6 linked regions of the Nothobranchius furzeri genome follow. The protein of the gene in region 1 interacts with the protein of each later gene in a pairwise test. Links are inferred from orthologs where the notes say so. Each region holds a gene or a part of one and is shown in the gene's direction. Other genes may lie near its edges. The genes, in order: tacc1, lsm7, snrpg, memo1, ckap5 and htt.

Evidence for each region.
Region 2: the proteins of tacc1 (region 1) and lsm7 interact in binary tests that used the Homo sapiens proteins (3 or more experiments, as listed by UniProt). The link is inferred for Nothobranchius furzeri from reciprocal best matches to the Homo sapiens genes TACC1 and LSM7.
Region 3: the proteins of tacc1 (region 1) and snrpg interact in binary tests that used the Homo sapiens proteins (3 or more experiments, as listed by UniProt). The link is inferred for Nothobranchius furzeri from reciprocal best matches to the Homo sapiens genes TACC1 and SNRPG.
Region 4: the proteins of tacc1 (region 1) and memo1 interact in binary tests that used the Homo sapiens proteins (3 or more experiments, as listed by UniProt). The two-hybrid records come from large-scale screens. The link is inferred for Nothobranchius furzeri from reciprocal best matches to the Homo sapiens genes TACC1 and MEMO1.
Region 5: the proteins of tacc1 (region 1) and ckap5 interact in binary tests that used the Homo sapiens proteins (3 or more experiments, as listed by UniProt). The link is inferred for Nothobranchius furzeri from reciprocal best matches to the Homo sapiens genes TACC1 and CKAP5.
Region 6: the proteins of tacc1 (region 1) and htt interact in binary tests that used the Homo sapiens proteins (3 or more experiments, as listed by UniProt). The link is inferred for Nothobranchius furzeri from reciprocal best matches to the Homo sapiens genes TACC1 and HTT.

What each region holds. Positions count from the first base shown.
Region 1 is NC_091743.1:54,552,009-54,556,247, forward strand, and holds the start of tacc1 (transforming acidic coiled-coil-containing protein 1), read left to right. Parts: upstream 1-1,439; 5' UTR 1,440-1,667; coding exon 1,668-1,813; intron 1,814-4,239. UniProt on the Homo sapiens protein: Involved in transcription regulation induced by nuclear receptors, including in T3 thyroid hormone and all-trans retinoic acid pathways. Might promote the nuclear localization of the receptors.
Region 2 is NC_091748.1:58,320,411-58,324,461, reverse strand, and holds lsm7 (U6 snRNA-associated Sm-like protein LSm7), read left to right. Parts: upstream 1-1,293; 5' UTR 1,294-1,397; coding exon 1,398-1,403; intron 1,404-1,643; coding exon 1,644-1,734; intron 1,735-1,833; coding exon 1,834-1,905; intron 1,906-3,134; coding exon 3,135-3,277; 3' UTR 3,278-3,551; downstream 3,552-4,051. UniProt on the Homo sapiens protein: Plays a role in pre-mRNA splicing as component of the U4/U6-U5 tri-snRNP complex that is involved in spliceosome assembly, and as component of the precatalytic spliceosome (spliceosome B complex).
Region 3 is NC_091755.1:44,512,057-44,516,195, forward strand, and holds the start of snrpg (small nuclear ribonucleoprotein G), read left to right. Parts: upstream 1-1,339; 5' UTR 1,340-1,460; coding exon 1,461-1,492; intron 1,493-1,668; coding exon 1,669-1,691; intron 1,692-4,139. UniProt on the Homo sapiens protein: Plays a role in pre-mRNA splicing as a core component of the spliceosomal U1, U2, U4 and U5 small nuclear ribonucleoproteins (snRNPs), the building blocks of the spliceosome.
Region 4 is NC_091752.1:1,582,739-1,586,238, reverse strand, and holds part of memo1 (protein MEMO1), read left to right. Parts: intron 1-968; coding exon 969-1,081; intron 1,082-1,361; coding exon 1,362-1,473; intron 1,474-3,500. UniProt on the Homo sapiens protein: May control cell migration by relaying extracellular chemotactic signals to the microtubule cytoskeleton. Mediator of ERBB2 signaling.
Region 5 is NC_091744.1:80,665,906-80,669,405, forward strand, and holds part of ckap5 (cytoskeleton-associated protein 5), read left to right. Parts: intron 1-536; coding exon 537-622; intron 623-861; coding exon 862-957; intron 958-1,181; coding exon 1,182-1,304; intron 1,305-1,385; coding exon 1,386-1,535; intron 1,536-1,609; coding exon 1,610-1,813; intron 1,814-1,882; coding exon 1,883-2,018; intron 2,019-2,101; coding exon 2,102-2,295; intron 2,296-2,374; coding exon 2,375-2,547; intron 2,548-2,875; coding exon 2,876-2,899; intron 2,900-3,500. UniProt on the Homo sapiens protein: Binds to the plus end of microtubules and regulates microtubule dynamics and microtubule organization. Acts as a processive microtubule polymerase. Promotes cytoplasmic microtubule nucleation and elongation. Plays a major role in organizing spindle poles.
Region 6 is NC_091746.1:25,523,101-25,526,600, forward strand, and holds part of htt (huntingtin), read left to right. Parts: intron 1-962; coding exon 963-1,121; intron 1,122-1,196; coding exon 1,197-1,294; intron 1,295-1,381; coding exon 1,382-1,521; intron 1,522-1,631; coding exon 1,632-1,695; intron 1,696-1,776; coding exon 1,777-1,877; intron 1,878-3,500.

The sequences.
Region 1 (4,239 bases):
GTTGTTTTTCACCTTAAGTGTGCAAATGTGTCCAGATTTTATGAATCTGTTAATGATATTTCACAAACACACAAATAATAAAATGAAATGTTACCAAATGCACAGATAAAGTTTGATTTTTGATGCCTGTTTCTGTGAAAACAGTGGATGTCCCACAGTTGGTACATCCTCTGTCTGCCCCTCTGATGTAAACAAAAATCATGCAGTTCATGCAAACCTATAGTTTTTAATTGGAATCTGTCCTAAAATCTCTGTTTTACAGCAATTTTCTTTCACAATAAGAAACATTTGCATAAATTGGGTATATAATAGCCACGGCTTGCATCTCCACCTGTGTTATTCATCTGATCTAAGTTAAATAACTTTTAGAATCTGTTGTTATTTCTATCAGATGTTTTGGAAACTTGCTCCCGTGGTCAAGGTGTAAACGTTTATCCATCCATTTTCCTCCACTTGCCCGGGGTTGGGTCGTGGGGGCAGAGGCCCAGACTCCCCTCTCCCCAGTTACTTGGATCAATTCTGGGGGAATTCCGAGGCGCTCCCTAGCCAGCCGAGAAACATAGCCTCTCCATCGTGTCCGTGACCTCCTCCCATTTGAAAACCTCACCAGGGAGGCATCCAGAAAGCATCCTAACCAGGTGCCCGAGCCACCTCAACTGGTGTAAACTTACAAAATAATGTCCACAGCTCATGATGAATATATTGTTTAAACCATTTCCAGACAGACTGCTCTCTGACTTGTTTTAGGGTTTTAATGGTGAACAGCCAGACTATTTCAGCAATAAGGTTATGGATGTTTCTTTTTTTAGCAGCCTTAAACAGCTCTAGTGGGATGAGTGATGTTGTGTCACCCTCCCAGCTGTTTAATCAGTCTGTAAGTACAACAGGTTTTTAACCACCTAATATTGACTGTATTGTGTGAATATGTGTGTATTCACTAGTTTTCAGACTTTTACACCAGTCTGGTAATTAACCTGAGGCCACAAAACAGAACTGGTTCTCCTGGTCTCACTTGTCTGCTACTGGATGGGTTAACAGCTACAGCCTGGGGGAGGGCGAGAGAGGGAGGGAGGCTGTGGTGAATAAGTCTTTTAGATCCAAGCTCACATTCCTAACCTCTCTCTGGACTATTAAATGTGGAGCCCCAGCAGTTCAGCTCCTCCTCCTCCTCTTCCTCCCTCTGTGTTTGTTTTGTGGCTCACTCCTTCTGACTCAAAGTGGAAGAACGGTCTGACAGGGACGTACCATTCTCCAACCACAGGGGGAAGTCATTTAGCAGAGTCAGGAGAAGCACCAGTCAGTTTTACCGCCTCCACCCCCACGCCTGCGTTTTCCATCAGTGAGCTGCTCCAGGGCGGAGGGGGTTCAGAGGAGGAGAGAGGGAGCAGAGAAACCAGCTGATCAGACCTGAGGTATTCTGCTACAGAGGGAGAGTCAGCGTGACTGGAAGTGACTGAGATTGAAGATTCACAGATTGTTTTATTTAAAACAAAAAAGAGAGAGAGATGCCTCTCTTCTTTCATTGGGAACTGAGGAATCGTGAAAAGGGAAAAGCCTTGTGGGAGAATGTGAGAGCTGTTGGCTGGGAGGAGATCTGAGGAAGAGTCTGACAGAAAAGGAACAAACCTTTGGCTGCTGGGGGTCGAAGAACTGCAAAATAAGGAGAGATGTCGTGGCTGTCACCTGTGTCGTGGGCCAAATGGACGTGGACAGCAGTGCGAGGAGGAGAGGAGGATGAAGAGGAGGCTGGTGGGGATGGGGAGCAATTTGGGAGAACGGAAGAGGAGGTGGAGGAGAGATCCCAAAGCTGCAGGCAAGTGCTGAGCTGAAACCTTGGTGTGATCATCACTGTCTGGTCCTACTTTAGCAGCTTCAGGTTGAGTAACCTCTAATCATGAAGAGTTAGAGTCTGACGGGTCAGAAGGGTGTGTGTGTGTGTGTGTGTGTGTGTTGTGATGACTGTGTTATATTTACAAATGTGTAAATTGGTTGTGTTTTTAGAATTTAGAGATTTTAGTGCCGGCTGCTTCTCAATGCTGTCTCGAATTGCCCCTCGGGGACTAATAAAGTTGTCTTGAGTCTTGAGTTACCTCTGTTCCACGTGTATTCAAACACAACTTGGTCCTTTGCTGACCTCTCACCTGCTCAGATAGTGTATCATTGAGCTGCTCTGTTCCAACATGATGAGATCAAATCTAAACACACTTTTGTTGTGAAGACCAGAGTTGAGACAGATCCAAGTGCTTCAAATGTCTACAATAAACACTGCTTGAATTTTGCTCTGCGTTGTTCTTAGAATGTAACAGGAAGTAGTGGGCCGCTCTGCGTCTGCTTCCTCTTCCTTTGTGTAAGTTTAACTTTATGTTCTTTTCTCCTGTTCTGGTTCACAGAAACAGATAACTTAAAGATGAAGGCAAAGCTCACTGTAGGTGGATTAGATGCTATAAAAAAGTAACACATCTTGTTCTTTACACGGGGTGACAAAAACAGAACGTCCTAACACTCATGTCTCCAACCTCCATGGGAAAAAGGCGTTTTTTTACATTTTCTACTAAAATTAAATTTACATACAGACACAAAATGAACTTAGATTTAATTAAAACAAAAACCTAGCTCTAGCCCAAAACTGATCACTGCGATTTAAAACTCAAGCCTGTCACGTTGAGAGGATGGTTTGGACCCAAAATGCAGTAACCCAGGATGACACGAGGCAGAAGTGGATATGAAGTAAAAATCCTTTTATTTAGGAGGCTGGGCATAAATCCAAAAGCAACACTGGCAAAAGGAAAAACAGAAGCTCTTTCACGAGTAAGCTCAGGAGAACACTTTAGACGGACAAAAACAACACTGACAACGACAATGGACCGTCAAGAACAATGAGACAAGGAAAAGCTTTATACACTGGGGCTGGAGTGATAGGAGACGAGGAGCAGGTGTGTGGAGAACTGGCACAGGTGAAATCACTAATGAGGAGAGGAGCAGAGCAGGACACCAGACCTGACTGGGACGGACAAACAAACACACACACACACACACACACACACACACACACACACACATACATACACATACTGACACACACATAAACTCATACACACATATACTGAGCTGGGGAACAAGAGGCTGGAGCTACAACTAGAGGGGCTGAGGATGACTGGATGTGACAGGACCTGGGAGGAATGATTTTAAAGGGCTACAACATAAGACACATAACAGAGATGCAGACAAAGGACACATGAGGGCGCTAAGAGAACACAAAAGGGAATCCAGAGAGGGATGGAGAAACATAATGAGACACATGGGGAAAGAAGCAGACAAAGAACACATGAGGGTGCCATGAAACACAAAAGGAGAACCTGGAGTGGGAACTGGAGGGGCTGGGGAACAAAGGGACACAGAACATGACAAAGCCATTTCAGACTGATTATGATACTGAACCAACGGAAGCTGTGCACAGCATGCCTGATTTCATGCTGAAGTAATCAGAAGTTTCACACATGCACCACAGTTCCGTGCACATATTTCAAAATAATTGGCTAAAATTAAAAGGAAGGAACCTCCAGAGCTGCAGGATGCAGCCTCCTGTTACGACTCCAGAAACTTTGCAAGATGATTACAAAACTGTACTTTTCACTTTAAACACAGATGAGTTGGAAGTCTTCATGCTGGTGATGTCATTGTTTGTTTGGTCTGGATGTGTGATTAGGGATCGTAGCATGAACATGTCCTCGGTTAGTGTCTTAGGTTACACCTCCAAGAGCCATTTCTGCTCCTGCTGCAGTTCTGCTAAAGTCTAATTCAGCTCTGAGCATCAGTAGTTTTAGGATAACCGCTCTGTCAAGCTAAACTAAACGAGTACACGATGCTCCTAACAATTATTTACTCAAGTTTCTTTACACTTTTAGGATGCTTGACCTGTTTTTGTTTTAAAAAAATCAGTGCTGCACTTTTGTGTATATTTAGGGTATTTATTTACAATATCAGTTATTTGTACACCAAACTCAAGAAAAGTTTTATCAACCTATCATGTCATAAAAACGATTACGGCCACTGTAGTTGCATTTCTCACTTTTCACACTTTTTACACATACATAGTTGATAAGTTGAAAAAATAAATAGACAATTAAGTCAATGAACTCTTTGCAGTAAACTAAAAGCTCTTTTCACAGTAACGCACACATAATAACTATATTATTACATGTCCGTAACTGTGGGATTTTCCACATTGATTATTTTACA
Region 2 (4,051 bases), on another chromosome or scaffold:
AGTCCCCTCTGCAGGCGGTGTCATTGCAAACAGCCTCACCAAAATATCTTGACCTACTTGTGGTTTGCAACCCACCAACTGGTACACAGTCAGGGTTTATTAATAGTAGTCATGTGTGGGTCATGACCAAGCTAATTCAGTGTGCTGGCTTGTTCATGTCAATGACTGGAGCAAGCTCCATGCTGAGAGCCTTTATTGGTTATTGATTTTTTTCCCAATAACAATACTGAAACTCAAAAAATTAGAATATGGTGCAAAAGTTCACTTATTTCAATAATCCATCTTAGACTGAGAGACCATCTAAAGGCTCGGGAACCCTTTGCAGATGTTTTTGATTAATTAGCTGGTTAGAGTGCGACACTTTGAGTCTAGAGTATTGAACCTTCTCGCACGTTCTGTTTGTCTGAGATATTTAGTTTTAGATGTTTTCGTAAGCTGTAAGCCATAATCATCACACTTATAACAAATAAATGATGGAAATATCTGGTTTTGCATAGAATGAGTTTATCTCATGAATTTGTTTCACCTTTTAGGTTTTTATACTGAAATCAATAAACTTTTGAACCATGTTCAAATTTTTTGAGTTTCATCTGTATACATTTTATTTTAAAAAGGGTTTCATTGTGGGGCAGTTGGAAGCACTGGTGACTCACAGGAACAATGTCATAGGTTTAAACCTTGGCTACGGCCTTTCATTCTCTCCATGCATGTGTGGGTTTGCTCTGGGTACATGCTCCTCCAGCAGACCAAAAACATACAAGCTGATCGGCAACCCCAACTGTCTTTAGTTGTGAACTCAGTATTAGCATAGTTTTTAACACTGTTACATACTGTTTTGATTGTGAATTTAGCTAAATAATAAACGAAAAAGGCTGTTAGAGCGAGTTTCCCACTCGCTGATAACAAAAGTGTTATAGCGTTTTATTTAGAAAGAATTTACAGGCAGTTTTCTCTTCTCCATCTCCATCAACCAAAAGAAACAAAAATACAGATTATGATCCCCCCCCCCCCCCCCCCCCAGTTTCATTGCCATGAGACTAGAACGTTCCCTTCTAGCTTCTTAGAACCTGATTGTAGTTGCAGTTTATCCCCACTGGAGGGCGTAGATTTCTTCTGAGATTGTAGCCTGTAGCTATTAGCTAACGCACAATGCAGCTGAGAAAGATGAACGTTTTTCCCAGCCTGACAGCGTATTAAGACAATCACATGAGTGTGTATTTAACTCATTACGTTTTAGTAGAGATGGTAGTCCCGAGACTTTTACAAAAATCAATATTGTTTCATTTTACTTTTTATGGTCTACAGCTGGACCTCTCTGAACCCTCTGAACGCGTTATCTCATTGGATCACTATCATTTCCTAGGGTCTAAGATTTACTTCCGGGTCAGACAGTAAATATGGCGGTGAGTTCGTAATCCATGGCTTTCATTATATTGTGTTACTTTTTATCTTTTCACATCCACATTTGTATTGTTAAGATTTAGCTTTGTTTTCTGAACAAAAGTCGACTTGAACAACTTTTATTTTGCTGTGACGGTAGACGTTTTACTTAAATAACGTGGCTAGTAGTGAGCTAAGCTAAGGCTACGTTTTGTTTGTGATTAATTAGTGACTTAAGACAATGTAACCTGGCCTTTCTGCAGGATAAAGAAAAGAAAAAGAAGGAGAGCATCTTCGACTTGTCCAAGTATATCGACAAGACGATTCGGGTGAAGTTTCAAGGTGGACGAGAGGGTGGGTGGACCAAGCTGTTGCTAACCCTTTCATTTCGTGCAAGCAGTAAATGTCTAGATTTCCTTATGTGGAAGCCTAAAATTTGTGTTTTCTTCTCAGCAAGCGGCGTTTTGAAAGGATTTGATCCTCTGTTGAACCTGGTGCTGGACGGCACGATCGAATACATGCGTGGTAAGAAAACCAAAACTCAAATCCAGCCAGAAAACTGCTCCTCAGTCTGAGTCCATGTTTATATCGATGAAGGACTTTTCCTGAACACATTCCGAAGTTCCCCAACACACATAACTATAAAGTAATAATTCGCATTAATTTCGCCCCTACCGTCATCTTTAAAACGATCTACAGTTAGTGAAAATAAGCATGTTGATCAAAACATTATGTTCATGTTCAGAGCATGTTTAAGAGACATTTTTCTACTTCACTTTTTTGAGTTAATTTGTTTTTCAGTAAATTATCAGGAATACGTGTGTGTGTGCGTGCGTGCGTGCTAATCTTGTTTGACAATAAAAGCAACATAATTTTAGATTATCTTCAGTGGACGAACATTACATATAATTACATGTAGACAAAAACATGTTGCTGCTATGTTTAAAAGAAGAAAATTCACAGGCTCTAAATAATTCATTCTAAAACATCAAATAATCCGAGAGATTTTCTGGGCTTCAAATTGAAAAAAGGTTTCCAAATTTTCAAATCACGCCCTTGTATGTAAGATTAATTTTTCAGTTTCATAAAATTAAGAAAGTCTGTGTGTAAAAGCATCTGTGGAATTGTTTTCTTTTTGTACAAACAAACAGAAAACATTGTGTAGACACCTCTCTACTGGAACAGTGTGTTGTTTCCAGGTAAAGGTAAGTAGCTGGTTGTGTTTTTTGTGCTCTTACCCTGTAAGGTTACTCCACCTATCTCCTCTACCATCACTGTGGATTTGTTGAAAATGTGATGCTAGTTTGAACAAACACTGGAAAAATGCTCAAGTTTCTAATTCTCAGTTTAGTGTTTGGAGGGGAGGGTTGAGCTAATATTCAGAGGAGTCATGGAGGCCACTCGGGTGGAACAAAAACCAGAAACATGTGGGGGGAAATTAAATTGATTTAAAAATCCCCAAACAAAAGATGAGTGGCTTTTTTCAGTTTGAGGTTTGTTCTTTAGTGGTCGAAGCAGATTTTTAACAGTGATAACAAATCAAATGTTGTTGGTTTTTTATCGCTGTTACAAGTGGTCGTCTTGTGTGGACTTAACATCTTTGAAAAATACATCTGAACTGAAGATGGTCAAAACAAAAAAATCAAAGGTCTCACCATTCATGTTTTAGTTTTGAGTGCATTCCGGTAAAATGCTTGGTGGACACCCAGCTGCTTGACATTTCCAGTGTGAACGTTCTGTGGCTTTGTGTGCAGATCCAGACGACCAGCTGAAGCTGACAGAAGACACCCGACAGCTGGGGCTGGTGGTCTGCAGAGGAACCTCTGTGGTGCTGATCTGTCCTCAGGATGGCATGGAGGCCATTCCTAACCCATTCATCCAGCAGCAAGATGGATAACCCCCATGCTGCTGCGTGGCACACTTTTGATTAGACTTTTCTTTTTTAACATTACAGGACACTTGTCATTCAGACGACAAACATGTTTTAAGTTCATCACTGGTAAAATAAGGCTCCGTTGCACTTCAGTTTTATTTCCCTGCTAATTTTGCTCATTTTTGTGTTGTGAGGAGCTCCCAGTTCTGAAAGTGTTAAAACAAATTTCTTGTTATCTGAGTGAACTTTTTACTATTCTTTGTTTTTGATAAGAAAATAAAGTGGAAAAAAAGCTGAATCTGAATGTTTTTCTCCTTTGAACACAGAGGACGTGTTGGAAAGTTACACCAGATATGGTCTATTCGAAAGGGTGACAAGGATCTGAGTGGTTTTGTTGACCCGACAGACGTCCCCTACCTGCTGGTTGTGACTGACTCGATGGGTCTACAGACTACTGAACTCTGCAGTAAAAAAAAAGATGAGTGTGTTTAGGTTTAAAGGGAGTTTCTGTGTTTGAAGATAAACCGTTCAAGCTTGTCTGCACACTCACAAAGACACATATGTGGCATTAACAGCTTTTAAGTCAGTAATGCATTAAGCTGGGGTGGGGGTGTAAAGTAATGATATCTATGGATTGTTCCTTTTGAAAGAAAGGATCTTCAGTAGATTTTGGCGTTGGAGAAACGCAGAAACAAAATGCTGATGAGTTTTAAGTGAGATAACTGAAGCTGTTTTTTAAAATGGCAAAATTTTTACTTAACTGGATGTGAAACCTCCTAAAAGTAGGTTAGAATAGTG
Region 3 (4,139 bases), on another chromosome or scaffold:
TCCCTGGAGATCATATAATTTGTCAGTGCCTCTGAGGCTGGAAGTCACAATATTTACTCTGTGTTACCCTTGAATGTGCATCATTTGGGAATATATTTGTTTTTGCTTAGTCTTAAACGTTGGCATATTTACTTCACCATTTGTACAATCCTTTTACATCATTCTTTGTATTTATTTTCCAGACCACACGGAACCACAGAAATGTACAGATGTCCATACTTCAACTGTCATTAAATACGTAAAACTGTCTCTCCGTGCCCTGCTCTCTGACCGGAGCCCTTATCTTGAAGATACTGTCAGATCAGCAAATAACTTCCAGAGTTCCCACTCTATCACATTGTTACTGGTCAGAATAAAGGTAGTGATGTCATTGTTACTGGTCAGAATAAAGGTAGTGATGTCATTGTTACTGGTCAGAATAAAGGTAGTGATGTCATTGTTACTGGTCGGAATAAAGGTAGTGATGTCATTGTTGGCGTCAGGCACTATTCCGGAAGGGCAAACAGGTTTTTGACCGCTGTGGCATGAAGACGTTTGAATGGGAAAGTAATCGGATTACTCCTATCATTGTTACATCCTGGAATGCAATCAACATTAAACAAGAAGCATTATCATAACAACTCCACGCTTAAGGCTGTTCAAGTAATTTAGTCAACATCGGATCAACACAGAGCGTCAACCAGGTCCCGGTCTAGCAGCCTCAGGAGTTCGAGTAATGGACTTGACTTCTACAGTTGCCTTCTTGAAATCACAATCTGGTTTTATTGTGTTCTTAGATATTGGTTGTGGGCTTCCATGAGTTTTCATAGTCAAACTTGGTTTCACTGAATTTTATTTGTTGTTTTTTACTTTGTCAAAAATAGCTCTTCTTCCTGTTATCTGTTGAATCTGCTTAATTTTAACTATACTTTTTAACTTGATGAGAATTTACAGAAATGAAAGAATAACTTTAAAGATTAGGTTAAATTGTGTAAATTATACAAACTGCACAACAGATTTCCATCCTGGAAAAGAAGAGAACGAAGTTGAGCTGACACTGCTGGGAGCTAGGGACTCCGGTCTGACAGGTAAAAATCAGGCAGCACAATGCATCTCTGTCGTTCAACAGCAAAATAAATGGTCAACTGAATACAAACAATAAGGTAGAAGGAACATAAAATATGCACTTATTAACATCGTTTTACATTTCAAATACATTTCAGTATAATATGTAATACTTACGTTTACTTTTGCTTTTTTGTAAGATTGACAATAAAATTGTAAAAGTTGTTTGAAACAAAGTGTTCTTGCAGATATTTGCAGATCCAACCCTAACACGTTCTCCTCCCCGCCTCGAGGGGGCGTAGTGGGACTGTAAACGCTAACTGCTTCACTTCCGGTCACATTTTCCTTCCGCGGTTTTGTTCAACGTAACCCCGACGAGCTAGCTCACCGGACTTCGGTACAAAAAACGATACAGAATGAGCAAAGCACACCCGCCAGAGCTGAAGAAGTAAGTTCACGTGTTTAAAAATAACAATTAGAAATTATTAATTTTGTTTCCACGATTTTAACGGAAAGAACGTGTTAGCCTGTTAGCTTTGCTCCATTCTTTACCATGAGGCTAACATTAGCAACCCTGCCTGAACTGTGAACCACCGTCGCCTGAAATGTTGTTTTATGTTTCAGATTCATGGATAAAAAGCTTTCATGTGAGTATGGCGTTTTACGAATATGTCTTTAAAGCCCCTATTGTGATTATGAAGAGTTTATAGTTTTAAGGTGCTAAAACATTAAAACCACGTGACGGAATAATAATCGATTGCATTTGTGTTGCGCTTTACATCACGACAATCTCAACGCGTTTAGAGGAAAGGAAAATGTTGATTATGAAAGATGAAAAGCTTTACTATAAAAGATCTACTAGAGAGAAACGTTTTCAGTCCTTCTTAAAAGCCGCTTGTAGGTTGGGGTGTGCTTAAACTCTCAGGGTAGGGTTAAAGGTTAGAGGGTGGAGGGCATTGTCCTCCGTGGTGCTCAGCCTGGTCTGGGTCTATGAAGCAAGTCTGACAAAAACCAGCAGATTTAAAATCCATCTAAGTCAAATCAAAAGGCTGAGAAGGGTTGGGAACACCAGAGCAGAAGGTGCAGCACGAGGAGCAACGACTGACAGGAAGATGAATAAAGAGACCAGAGATGGGGCACATCTGAGCTCGCGGGGAAGCTGATTTCATCTGTGTGCAGCATCACCCTGCTTGGTTCTGACCCGGTGCAGCTCAGGTCTGAATCAGTTATGAGTCTTTGTCCTTTAGCTCTAAACTGTAATTCTATCTGTGTGTGTTGTAGTTAGTGTTTTATCATGTCCTGGTGACTGTAAAGCACATAGGATTGCCTCTGTGTTTGAAACGTGCTCGAGACATAAAGCTGCCTTGTCTTCGTTCCTCTGGAGCCGAGCTGAGCAGTAACGTCCATCCTAACCTTCTGATTCCCAAAGACGATAACTTCAGTCTCGTCTTTGTTAAACTGGAGGAAGTTAGACTGCATCCGGTCGTTTGCTTGCCTCAAACACTGACAGAGTGAGTCTAGGGATAGGCAATTGTGAGTATACACATGCGCAATAATAAATATATTTCTTTGATAACTTTTAAGAGATCATTCTGTTGGTGTAAAATCATTTTTTAGGCATGTCAGCTAATGTTTGGTTAGATTTTAAATGTTTGTATTTACTTTTGTTTATTTAGCTGCATAATTGGGGTAAATAGCTTGGTTTGCAGGGGTTCTGTGAAGATTGTGCAGGGTTTTTCCTGCATTCAAATTAGAGCTGAGGAAAATAATCGATGCATCGGGATGCGGACATAAATCGTAGAAGAGTACGCCGTAATCGATTATAGTGGAATGTAGTTTTGTTTTTTTAACGGCGGCACCAGCATCTGTCAGAGTGAGCGTCCTCCACATTTACCACGTGGTTCCGCCTTGATGTGGTACTGCATTGCTGAGCGCTAGAGTTGTAACCTGAGCCGGAACCAAATCAGCCCGACCGGTTCTGTTGGATTTGGGCCGTGAATTATGTTAATTGAGCGGGTTGTCATGTGGCGCGCTCCGCTCGATCAGAGAGAGAGACTGTCTACTCACACGAGAGGATCGCAGGACGCTCCTCTAAACCGATGCTCCAAACACGCGTTATTGTTTTCATAATTTCTCCTGGAAGCGCTCAGTCAGACTTAGGGATGGGTACCTTTGACATTTGAATCGATCCGGTACTAATTCCCGGTACCTAGGAATCGATACCGGTACTTAACGGTATCAATTTTAGATACTTTTGAGTGTTTATTATTTTAATTCTCTTTTATAATTAAATATATATTTTTCTCAATATATAACCATATTTGATAAATATCACGATAAAAAACATACAACTGTTTGTATTTTAACATGGTCCTTGTAGTTTTATAAGCTGATAATTAAACTGAAGCAAACGTCTTTACTGTGAACTAAATTTACTGTGTATCTTCATTCCTTTTGCCGTCTTTTTCATTTGATTTTTCCTACTGGGAAGTTAGAATTTCCGAGGAGAAAGCGAACGCACCATTAGCTGATAACAATAGTAGCAATGGAAGCTAACATACCAAGCTAACGTTATCTTTAACAGTTTATTTAGCTGCTGGAGCAGATTAAAACGATGATGCCTCACACTTAGATCGTTGTCGCTGGTTTCATCTTCACCCAATCACCCGTCGCATTTAGTAAAGTGAAGCCAAACTTTAGAGCGCGTTCATGTTATTCCAGTCGGAAATTCGAAGTTCCGAGGAGAAAGCGAACGCACCATTAGCTGATAACAACGGTGGCAATGGAAGCTAACATACCAAGCTAACGTTATCTTAAACAGTTTATTTAGCTGCTGGAGCAGATTAAAACGATGATGCCTCACACTTAGATCGTTGTCGCTGGTTTCATCTTCACCCAATCACCCGTCGCATTTAGTAAAGTGAAGCCAAACTTTAGAGCGCGTTCATGTTATTCCAGTCGGAAATTCGAAGTTCCGAGGAGAAAGCGAACACACCATTAGCGAAACGGAAGCTAACATATCGAGCTAACGTTATCTTAAACATGTTATTTACCTACCGGAGCAGATTAAGATGAGGATGTCTCACTTAGATCGT
Region 4 (3,500 bases), on another chromosome or scaffold:
ATTTAGCCAGTGTGAGTCCGTGTGTGAGCAGAGGATCAACTAAAATGCTGCTTGGAAACGACTACATTCAAAGATCTTTAGAGACATAAAATGTTTCGCAGAAAATATTAAAAAAAAAAACCTAGAATATAAATAAATGACTGCCGACACCACCTAGAGTCGAGCCAACGTCAGCAGAGGGCGAAACGAAACAAAGGCAGATTTCGGTGCCACTGGACTACCATAGAAATACAAAACTGTGATCAGAGCGGCCACGGGCAGAGATTCACTGACAGGAACCTACCTTTTCATGTTGGGATATAAATTCAGGTTTTGCCATGTAGCAAATCTTGCTTCATTTGAACATAGAACAGAGTATTAACAATCGTAAACTAGTAACAGCCGTAGTTCTGGTCTGACAGCCGACCCGACACTGCCCACTTCAGTTCCGGAACGTAAGTGTTGCATTTTCCAAATATGGTACGGGTCTGACAACTGGCCCGACGCCGCCCCTTTCTGCGTGCTGCAGCCGGGTGTACTGGGATTGGCCGGCTGAAGTTCATGTCTGCCCAATAGGGGGAGCCTCTGACTGCTGGTTAGATTCAACCAGCCGTGACTTCCTGCATGCACGGTCCATGATCACTGCTCAGTGAGACAGTAGGAAGCAGTGTGCTTTATGACAGAGGATGCTTTGGTTTACTAACTTAAAGAGGACACCACAGACTTGGTAATGCACCTTTTGCCCCGCCCACATGCTCACAGACATCCACGTTCCTGAGAAGGCTGTGTGAACAGAACAAAACCTGGCTGTGCAGGAATGGGCTGACCCAACCAAGACCGGACCGGGCCGGGCCTCATGTGAAAATGCCATCATTTATCTTAATTCTTATCTTGCAACAGCAATAAAACCGATGTTTTTTGGCTAACAGAAGGTTGTGCTGGTGATGAATGTTTTCCTGTGAGTGAGATAAAGTTTTGCTTCCGATCAGTCGTAGGGTGTTCATTCTGGGACCTTCACATCACGTGCCCCTCTCCCGCTGTGCCCTGTCACCTGCAGACATCTATAGAACACCGCTCTATGACCTGAGAATTGACCAGAAGGGTACTCACTGTTATTCTCTTATATTTACTCTTATTCGTGTCTCAGACGTGTGTGTGAATGCATTGATGGAATAGCCTAGTTGTAATTTAAAGTGCATTTTAACCGTCTAACTGCAACTGTACACATCTTCTCACTCATTCTAAATCACTGCATTAAAGCATTTTACTCAGCTCTCATTGAGATTCTGAATCTGGAAAGAACATGCAGCTGCAAAAGTCATTTAGCCAATCGAACGCACCGACGACATGCATACATTAAAGGTAAAACCTCTCTCTTGCAGTTTACGCTGACCTCTGGAAGACTGGGTTGTTTGAGAGGATGAGTGTGCAGACAGATGAAGATGAGCACAGCATTGAAATGCACTTGCCTTATACTGCAAAAGCCATGGAGAGGTAATGCAATTCACCGTAAACAACTTTAAATGGAAATAAGCTACAGAATGAAACATTTTCCTTACTTCGGACTAAATAATACGGTTAAAACCAGATGAATGAGCCTTTTCTGCTGGTTGGTGGCTGAGCTCTGCTTTCTCATAAGCTTAACACAAAAAGCAGCTTTTGGTAATGTAATGCTATAATTATGGAGCTTGTGGCATGTGTGGTTATCACACCAGCTAGACAAGTATCGGGTTTGTTAGCCACGCCTAAATCTGATGGGAACTTTGTCCTTTATCCTGATTGTTTGTGAAACTTTTTCCCAGCAATGAAATCCACAAAAATTGAAAGTCCAGATACCACCAGAGTAAAACACACGGCGTCGTGTTAGACAAAAACTAGATTTGGAATTATCAGTTAAAATGAGTTTCATACAAACCAACCAGAAACTATTCTGAGTGAAAGCCGCTGCTCCTTATCGTCTTCCAAACATTTAATAACTGAAGATTTTCTGTTTTGGCACCAAAAAGCTGCTTCTGCAATCAGAATTTAGCTCCAGGTTCTTCTTCGTGTAAATCTGATCCTCTACATCTGGAAGCCATATTTGTCTCATTGGGCGTGTCCCAATCCAGGGCCTTCATCCCTCCGAGTACGCATTTTAAATTGGGTTATGTCACGTTGAAGGAACAAGTCCATCCGAGTTTGAAGGCTTCACAAATGTCTCCTCACATTCCCTGAATCTTGAGTCCAGTGTGCCCTCATAGGCAAAAGCTATCCCAGGGTTCATTTTGGGTCAACTGGGAGATTTTTGTTTTTGCAATAATGGCGAAGGACCCTGGATTACAGTTTTAGATGTTAACATGTGGTAAAAAAATTATATTTGTTGTGCTTTCTTCTTGTGAACCTGTCAGTGCACCCCAGCGCAGCTGTGGCTACGATGTAGCTCATCACCATCAGAGTGTGAATGTGTGTGGATGCGAGAATAACTGATTGTGTTGTGAAGCGCCTTGGTGGTGGTGGTGGTGGTGGGGGGGGGGGGGGGGGGGGTTGGAACCCCAAGAAGGCGCCATACAAATGGCCATTTACCATTTTGGTTTCAATATTTGAAAAGTCAAAAGTTTTAGAAGAATCCTCATAAAAGAGCTTGACACCATATTTCTTCATGTGTTTCTGGTAGGTGTGATTTTACAGTTGTGGTCAGAAGTTTACATACACTTGTAAAAAATATAATATAATGGCTCTACTGAGTGTCCCGTTATTTCTAAAACTCTGATTTTTCTCTGATAGAGTGATTGGAACAGATACTTCTTTGTCACAAAAAACATTCATGAAGTTTGGTTCTTTAATGTCTTTATTATGGGTTAACAGAGAAAAGTGATCACATCTGCTGGGTCACAAATATACATACAGCAACATGATCTAGCAATTTTGGTGACTTAGAAACGTGTCAGTGAACTGAGCTTCATAGCATGGCCTCTTAACTTCTTGTGAGTGATTATGAGTGACTACAGCGGGTGACTTCTCTTAGGCCAGGTAAATAGGGCTCATTGGATACAAACGCCCACAAACGCTACAATGGGAAAGTCAAAGGAGCTCAGCATGGATCTGAAAAAGCGAATTATTGACTTGAACAAGTCAGGAAAGTCACTTGGGACCATTTCAAAGCAGCTGCAGGTCCCAAGAGCAACAGTGCAAACAACTGTTTGTAAGTATAAGGTTCATGGCACTGTTTCATCACTGCCAAGATCAGGAAGAAAACGCAAGCTATCACCTGCTGCTGAGAGAAAATTGGTCAGGAGGGTAAAGAGGGAACCAAGAATCACCAAAAAGCAGATCTGCCAAGAATTAGAAGCTGCTGGAACACAGGTGTCATTGTCCACAGTCAAACGTGTTTTGCATCTCCATGGACTGAGAGGCTGCCGTGCAAGAAGGAAGCCCTGGCTCCAAAAGCGGCACCTTAAGGCTCGACTGAAGTTTGCTGCTGATCACATGGACAAAGATAAGACCTTCTGGAGGAAAGTTCTGTGGTCAGACGAAACGAAAAT
Region 5 (3,500 bases), on another chromosome or scaffold:
TTCTCAGCCTCCAAGGTTTAGAGCTGAAGGAGCCTCTTGAACGAGAAGTGAAACGTCTTGTAGATAACCAGAGAAGTCCAGCTGTTTTCAGTGAAATCTCAGGATGACGGAGAGTCCACACCGACGTGCTGAAGCTCAGAGCAGCAACGCTTCAGGAACACTTAAACGTAGCTGCTGTCAGGAACAGTCGAACCGATTTCAAACATTAAAGCTCTAAACCGACTAAAGAGCGTAGAAAAGAACAAATCTCACAACTTTGTGTTGTTGTGAGATTTGTGGGATTTATTATTGTTGTAAGGGTTTGAGGTAAAGATGCAAGAGTAAAGTTATGCATTCGTTTTATTTTGAAGGGGAGTTCGAGGTTGTTTCTGGCTCCAGTGGGCGGCGGCTGTTATGCTAAGGAAAACCGCTGTTATGAGCGGTTCTGTGGCGAAGTAGTAAGGCGCGGGTTACTAGTTGAGTGACAAACACGCTCATGATTGGTCGCCCTCTAGAGCCCTGGCTGTTGATCATTTCTGGTTATTTGTCACCCGCAGCCTCCAGGTGTGCGGCGGCCAGCGAGGACCTCCCTGATGGTAAACCTGAAGCGAAGAAGGTCCGAGGAGGACCAGCGGCTAAGAAGGTACTTCAGTTCACATGGCTTCCTCATTGGTTCTTGGTGTGCTCGCAGGAACCAGGATGAGGCACCTTCCCAGTTGTTTCCTGTCAGAATTCAGTCATGATGGAGAAAATGTGTTTTTGATCATTTATGCTAAAGTTTTACGTGCCGGCCACGTGCACGCCCCTCACCTCCATTCATGTTACGTGTTTTTCTTTTTTCGCATCATTGTTGTTTGAACATGTTTATTTTTACCCACCCAGTCCTCCCCTCCTGACGATGCCCCCCCCAAGGACAAGGAGTGTAATGGTAGTAAAAAGCCCCCCCTCAAAGGGAAGGCTGCTGCTGGAAGCCAACAGGTAGACGTCTCACCTGAGGAAACTGTCCTCTACGTCTCTGTGGACTCCTGTCAGCCTGGCAGTTAGTCCAGCTGCTCTCAGATCAGTCTGCTGTGTGCACTAATACAGCCAAACGTGTGTGTGTGTGTGTGTGTCCTCCCTCCATAACTCCTTTTATTTCTCTTTTCTCTCTAACTGTAAAACTAACCTGTTGATAAACATTAACGAGTCCCGCCCCCACCCAGTGTCCAGCTGGTAAGAAGCCTGCAGCCAAAGGCCTGAAGGACGACGAGGACAAGTCTGGACCGATCTTCATCCTCGTTCCAAATGCCAAGGAGCAGAGAATCAAAGAGGAGAAGCAGCTGAAGGTACCGGTCGTGGTTCTGCAATGTGTTGAGCGTGTGTTTAGTGTTCAGGTCGGTTTAACGCTGGGCTCTTGGTGTTGGTAGATCCTAAAGTGGAACTTCATCACTCCTCGAGACGAGTACGTGGAGCAGCTGAAGACCCAGATGTCCACCTGCTTTGCTAAGTGGCTGCAGGATGAGCTGTTTCACTTCGACTTCCAGAGACACGTGAAGGCCATTGGTGTCATGATGGAGGTAGAATGTCTCTGTCCGGTTTCTGCTGCCGTTCCAACAGGAGCCTGGTCTCTCTAACCATCTGTGTCTGACAGAGGCTGGAGAGCGAGAGCGATGCTACCATCAGCTGTTTGGACCTGATCCTGAAGTGGTTCACCTTTCGTTTCTTTGACACCAACACCACGGTCCTGATGAAGGTTCTGGAGTATCTGAAGTTGCTGTTCACCATGCTGAACAGGGAGAACTACCACCTGACGGAGTATGAGGCCAACTCCTTCATCCCCTACCTGCTCTTGAAGGTGTGGGCGTAACACTGGGACACCAGACGGGTTTCCATCAGGCTCTGAGTTTTACTTTGTCTTCTGCAGGTTGGAGAATCTAAGGATGTAGTTCGTAAAGATGTTCGGGCCATTCTCGCTATGCTGTGTAAAGTTTACCCAGCATCCAAGATCTTTCCTTTCCTCATGGAAGGAACTAAATCCAAGAACTCCAAGCAGAGAGCTGGTAGGTCTCAGATAGGTCACAATGGAGTATCAGCAGCTCGGTGTCTTTGTAGCTAAATCTGAGTCAAACCTCTGTTTCCTCAGAGTGTCTGGAGGAGTTGGGCTGTCTGATCGAAGGATACGGGATGAATGTGTGTCAGCCGACTCCTGCCAAGTCTCTGAAGGAGATTGCTGTCCACATTGGGGACAGAGACACGTCCGTCCGTAACGCTGCTCTCAACACCGTGGTGGCCGTCTACAACGTCTGCGGCGACCAGGTCTACAAACTGATCGGAAACGTAAGAACGACCTGATGCTGCGGCAGAACTGGACACAACAGGACATGGATGATTGGTATTTGTCTCTGGTTGCTTCCAGCTATCGGAGAAGGACATGAGCATGTTGGAGGAGCGGATCAAACGCTCGGCTAAGAAGGCTGCTGCAGCTCCGCCCAAACAGGCGCCGGCTGACAGACCGCAGAGGGAAAACCCAACCAATTCCACCGCCACTTTCCTCCGGAAGCCAGCTCAGGAAGACCCTAACAAGCTCAAGTAGGTCCATGCACACACACACGCACAGTGATGGGTCGCTGCTGACGTGGAACTGACAGATCTTTAAAACTGTTCTTCTTTTCTGCTGATTGATTGATTTTTGTCTGGTTTAAACTCTCTGACCTTTGACCTTTCTTCAGCATCTCCTTTTCTGGACTAATCTGTCCTGTTTTCTGAACTGGTGCATGCTGGGTTACCCTCACAGCGACATGCGGAGTCAGAACGTCTCTGTGAGAGCAACCCTGTCTTTGTCCACCTTTAACCCCTCCTCTCTCTCCCTGTGTGATTCCCTCCTCTCTCTGCTCTGCTGCCTTCTTTCCTGGAGCAGAATAATGTATCGCACGTATAGGATGTGAGTACAACTCCTCCTCCTGGTGTCATTGATTTTATGAATGCATCCTAACCCCCTGAGCCTTTGACCTTTAGCTCTGCTGGCATGTGGCAGCAGACTGATGGTCGAAAGGCTCAGCTGTCTCCTCTAACACCCCCAACACCACCCTCGAGTCGGTGACCTCACACCTGAGGACCTGTTCTCTTGTCAGTGTTGTTGCTTGTGCTGAGTCAACGGAGGCCGTTGGCTCAGATTAAGGACCACATGTTTAAAGGAGCAATAAGTAAGAATTCTACAGTGAAATAATCACCATCAGTTTATTGTCTCAGTAATGTTGGAGGGAAGGTGGCACAGCCACAGATTTCAGTCTCGGCTGGCTGGGGGTTCTGCAGTTTTTCTCCTTCAAAAATAATTAAGAGGGATTTAGTTACAGTTTGCAGTCAGTGACTCGTGAGGTTTCCACGTCTGCGCCGAGCTCATGCAGCAGCGCCGGCATTTGTAATTCGACACCAGCAGGCAAAAAATCTCCATATTTGTTTAAGAACCTAAACCAGTAAACAGGAGCGACCCAGAAGGTTTTCTGGTACCCCTAGGAAGCCACGGTATCTTTTGGTTTCAGTGC
Region 6 (3,500 bases), on another chromosome or scaffold:
GTCATACATTGCAAGGCCTTGCACCTGGTTTGTGTTGAGAATGAGGGTGTTTCTCAATGTCAAGGCACCTGGCCTTGCAAGGTGATGTCTTGCGAGGCCAGGTGCCTTGCTTACGAGGACCTTGGTCAAAGAAAACGGTAAAATGGAACAGACTTGCATCATGTGACCGCAGCTTCCACGGCGGTCACGTAACGTCACGTGACACGGAAGATAACGTTATATTTCATCTCTATTAGTTGCAATATAAATATATAACGAGCCTTTGAATTTTTAAATTGTGTATATGTTAATTAAATTAAAAATATAAGCGAGTTACTACCCGCTAGCCACCGAAGCTGCAACTACCAAGCAACTAACAACCATAGATAACTCTTAGGATCTAAAAAAAATTTTTTAAATTAGTTTACTTACTTTTAAACTTGAAAATTGTCCCCGAAGTAGCTGCCGGCTTCTGATCCACTGTCTTTTTTCAAAATACAGCGGTGTATTGTGGGTAATTTTTGACCAAGGCTAGGCTACAAGACCCCTCCCGTGTGTCCTCGCTCAGCTAGCTAAACGGCTAACAAACGGAGAACACACGCCTCGGTAGAACACGAACATTGGAGCATGCCTTGGCGGCTCCCGATGACGTATCTCCTAGGCAACCGGGGCGGGGCCAAGACATCACGGCGAGGTTCCTCGGCATTGAGAAACACTCTGACTCTGCTAGCAGCGTGAAACGGAGGTCTGGTGGCCATCTTGAATCGAGTTGACTCGGTGTTTCCTCGAAGTGAATCTGGTGAAAACTTCCTAAGATATTTAGCAAACAGACATGCCACGTTCCAGTGTGGTATTTAAAGCATCATTAATCCGTTTACAGTCACAATATTTACAAACTGCATATTTGCTAAAATATCTCCTATTTTGGGTGATTCCTGCAGTGGACCGTGACCTGCTGTGTTTTATGCTGCATCCCTTTGCAGAGCGACAGTACGTCAGCGACGTTCTCTGCCTCATCACCCACGGGGACCCCCAGATCAGAGGAGCCACAGCCATCCTCTGCGGAGCCATCATACAAGCTGCGCTAACCAAAACACGCTACAACATTCACACCTGGCTGGCCAGTGTGCAGCGTGCAACAGGTTAGCGTCTGCTTTTTCTGCTGCTGGCATTCTAAACCTTATAAAAGTAGCTCATCAGGTCTGCCTGCTCTTTAGGTAACCCTTTGTCCCTGGTGGACTTGGTGCCTTTGCTCCAGAAAACTCTTAAAGATGATTCCTCTGTCACCTGTAAGATGGCTTGTTCTGCAGTCAGGGTGAGGTGGACCCGTGTGCTTTTTGGGTCTCGGGGCTCTAGCTGCAGTTGTGAGTCTGACTTTTTTTACTACTTGTGGGTGTTGCAGCACTGCATCATGACCCTCTGCAGCAGCACCCTGAGTGAACTCGGCCTGCAGCTGGTGATCGACCTCTTTGCTCTGTGGGACTCTTCCTACTGGCTCGTTCGCACCGAGCTCCTGGAAACGTTGGCTGAGTTAGACTTCAGGTAAAACAAACTCGAATACCCAAATCCAACATCTCAAACACTGACGAGACTCCAGATATTCTGTGTGTCTGGAGGATTTCCACATGTTAAAGTTCCTGATTTTTCTTTAGATTAGTCGGTTTCCTGGAGAGGAAAACAGAAACTTTACACAGAGGAGCTCATCACTACACTAAGGTAGGTTCAGACCTGTTTTCGTCCGTGTTTCTGTTATTAGTCCGGAGCTTTATTGTTCTGGGTTGGTTGATGTTCTTCTAGTGGCTGCTGCTGCAGGACAGAGTTCTGAATGACGTGGTCATACGTCTGCTGGGAGATGACGACCCAAGAGTCCGGCACGTGGCGGCGTCTGCTGTCAGCAGGTGTGTGACGGACTTGTGTTGATGCATCAACTGCAGTACCTAGATCTGACCACAGAAGGTCATTCTTCCTTCATGCTGCTTTAAGCTAGTTTTATTTCCTTGTTTTAAATCAGGGGTCGGCCGCGGCTCTTTTATCCATCTGATGCGGCTCCCTTCTCGTAAAATAATGAATGAATATTGAATATTATTCATTTTTTATCTGTATGCCAATTCTAAATTTAAAGATTGTCAGCGTAAACCGGAACAGGTCCAACAGCTGACAGGTCACCTGCAAATGTCTCTATAGGGGCTTTCTGAGTTGAGAAGGATGTGAGATTCTGGACTTTTGCCTCAGACAGGCTCATGAATGCATCGCTGCGTCGCCACATTGGAGACAGGAACAAGCGCTATTCAGCCAAAGTTTCATAATAGAGTACATTTTCTAAGAGACGAGTCTCTCTAGCCTTTTTCAGATAGACATTCTGGAACATTTGTGGACAATTCAATCCGGTTTTTAACCGGAACTGTGTTTTCAGACACACCACTTTTGTACCGGAACTTGTCCTTTCGGCTGCGTTCACACAGCAGGGAAAAGTTCCAGATGTCTGACGGCGGCGGGGGGTGGGGTAGGGGCGGAGAATCTGACTTATGTTTAGAAGAAAAAGAAGAAGAAAATATCATTTCTATAGCGCCTCTCCAGATAAAAATCACGAGGCGCTTAAGCATAATTCTGCGCACACGAAGACGCATAAGAGACCTGGATGATGAAGCTCAATGGTTAAAGGAATCACTGAAGCGGTGTGAAGCGCTCCATCGCGCGTCTAGGCAGTACCGTAGGAGGCAAGCTGCCGTGGTTCGTCGCATGCTACAGCAGCGAGCTATCTAGGTGCGCACAGCGTCCCCGTTCCCCTCCTCCTTCCCCTCCCCCTTGTCCGGAACTTTACCTCACCAGTCTGAAGCAGCCACCCTGTCTGTAACAAGTCCGGACCTGTTACTAGGGGTTTCGTCCGGTAAAATTCCGGAACACCTTATCCGGATGTTTGTATTCAGACACAGAGGTCTTACGGACAGAGTCCGGAACATTTCCGTTTTTCATGGCCTGTCTGAAGGGGGCTTCTGAGAGACACGGTTTGGGAAACACTCGCTTCAGTGAGAGGAATCTTCCTGCATGCGCACCGGTTCTGCAACGCGCTCCAAACCCCCGATCTACACATCAGCTGAATAAATCTTCAGCTCGCTGTCCACCTTACGCATGCGCTGAGCTCAGTGTCCAGCTCTGATGGGAACCTTTTCTTGATTGACATAACTACTAGGGATGAGCCGGATACTGGTGTCAGACGAGTATCCGGTACGGATAAAATATTTTTGACGAGTACGAGCATGAAACGAGTAAAACTCGTAAATATCTGTAATCGTGCTGAAGGAAAATCCTCATTGGGTAACTGACTGAGTTCCCGCTCTGTGATTGGCCAGTCAAATAGAGTGCCCGCCCCTCCCTACACACAAAACTGCAGTGGGAGCTCACAGCTCAGTCCGCGTCCGGTCCATCCACGCGCGCGCACACACACACACACACACACAGACCATAACGGATCTCTCTGTGCTTGCTTCACTGTTCACGTTTCTTCAATACTCCCTACGTTT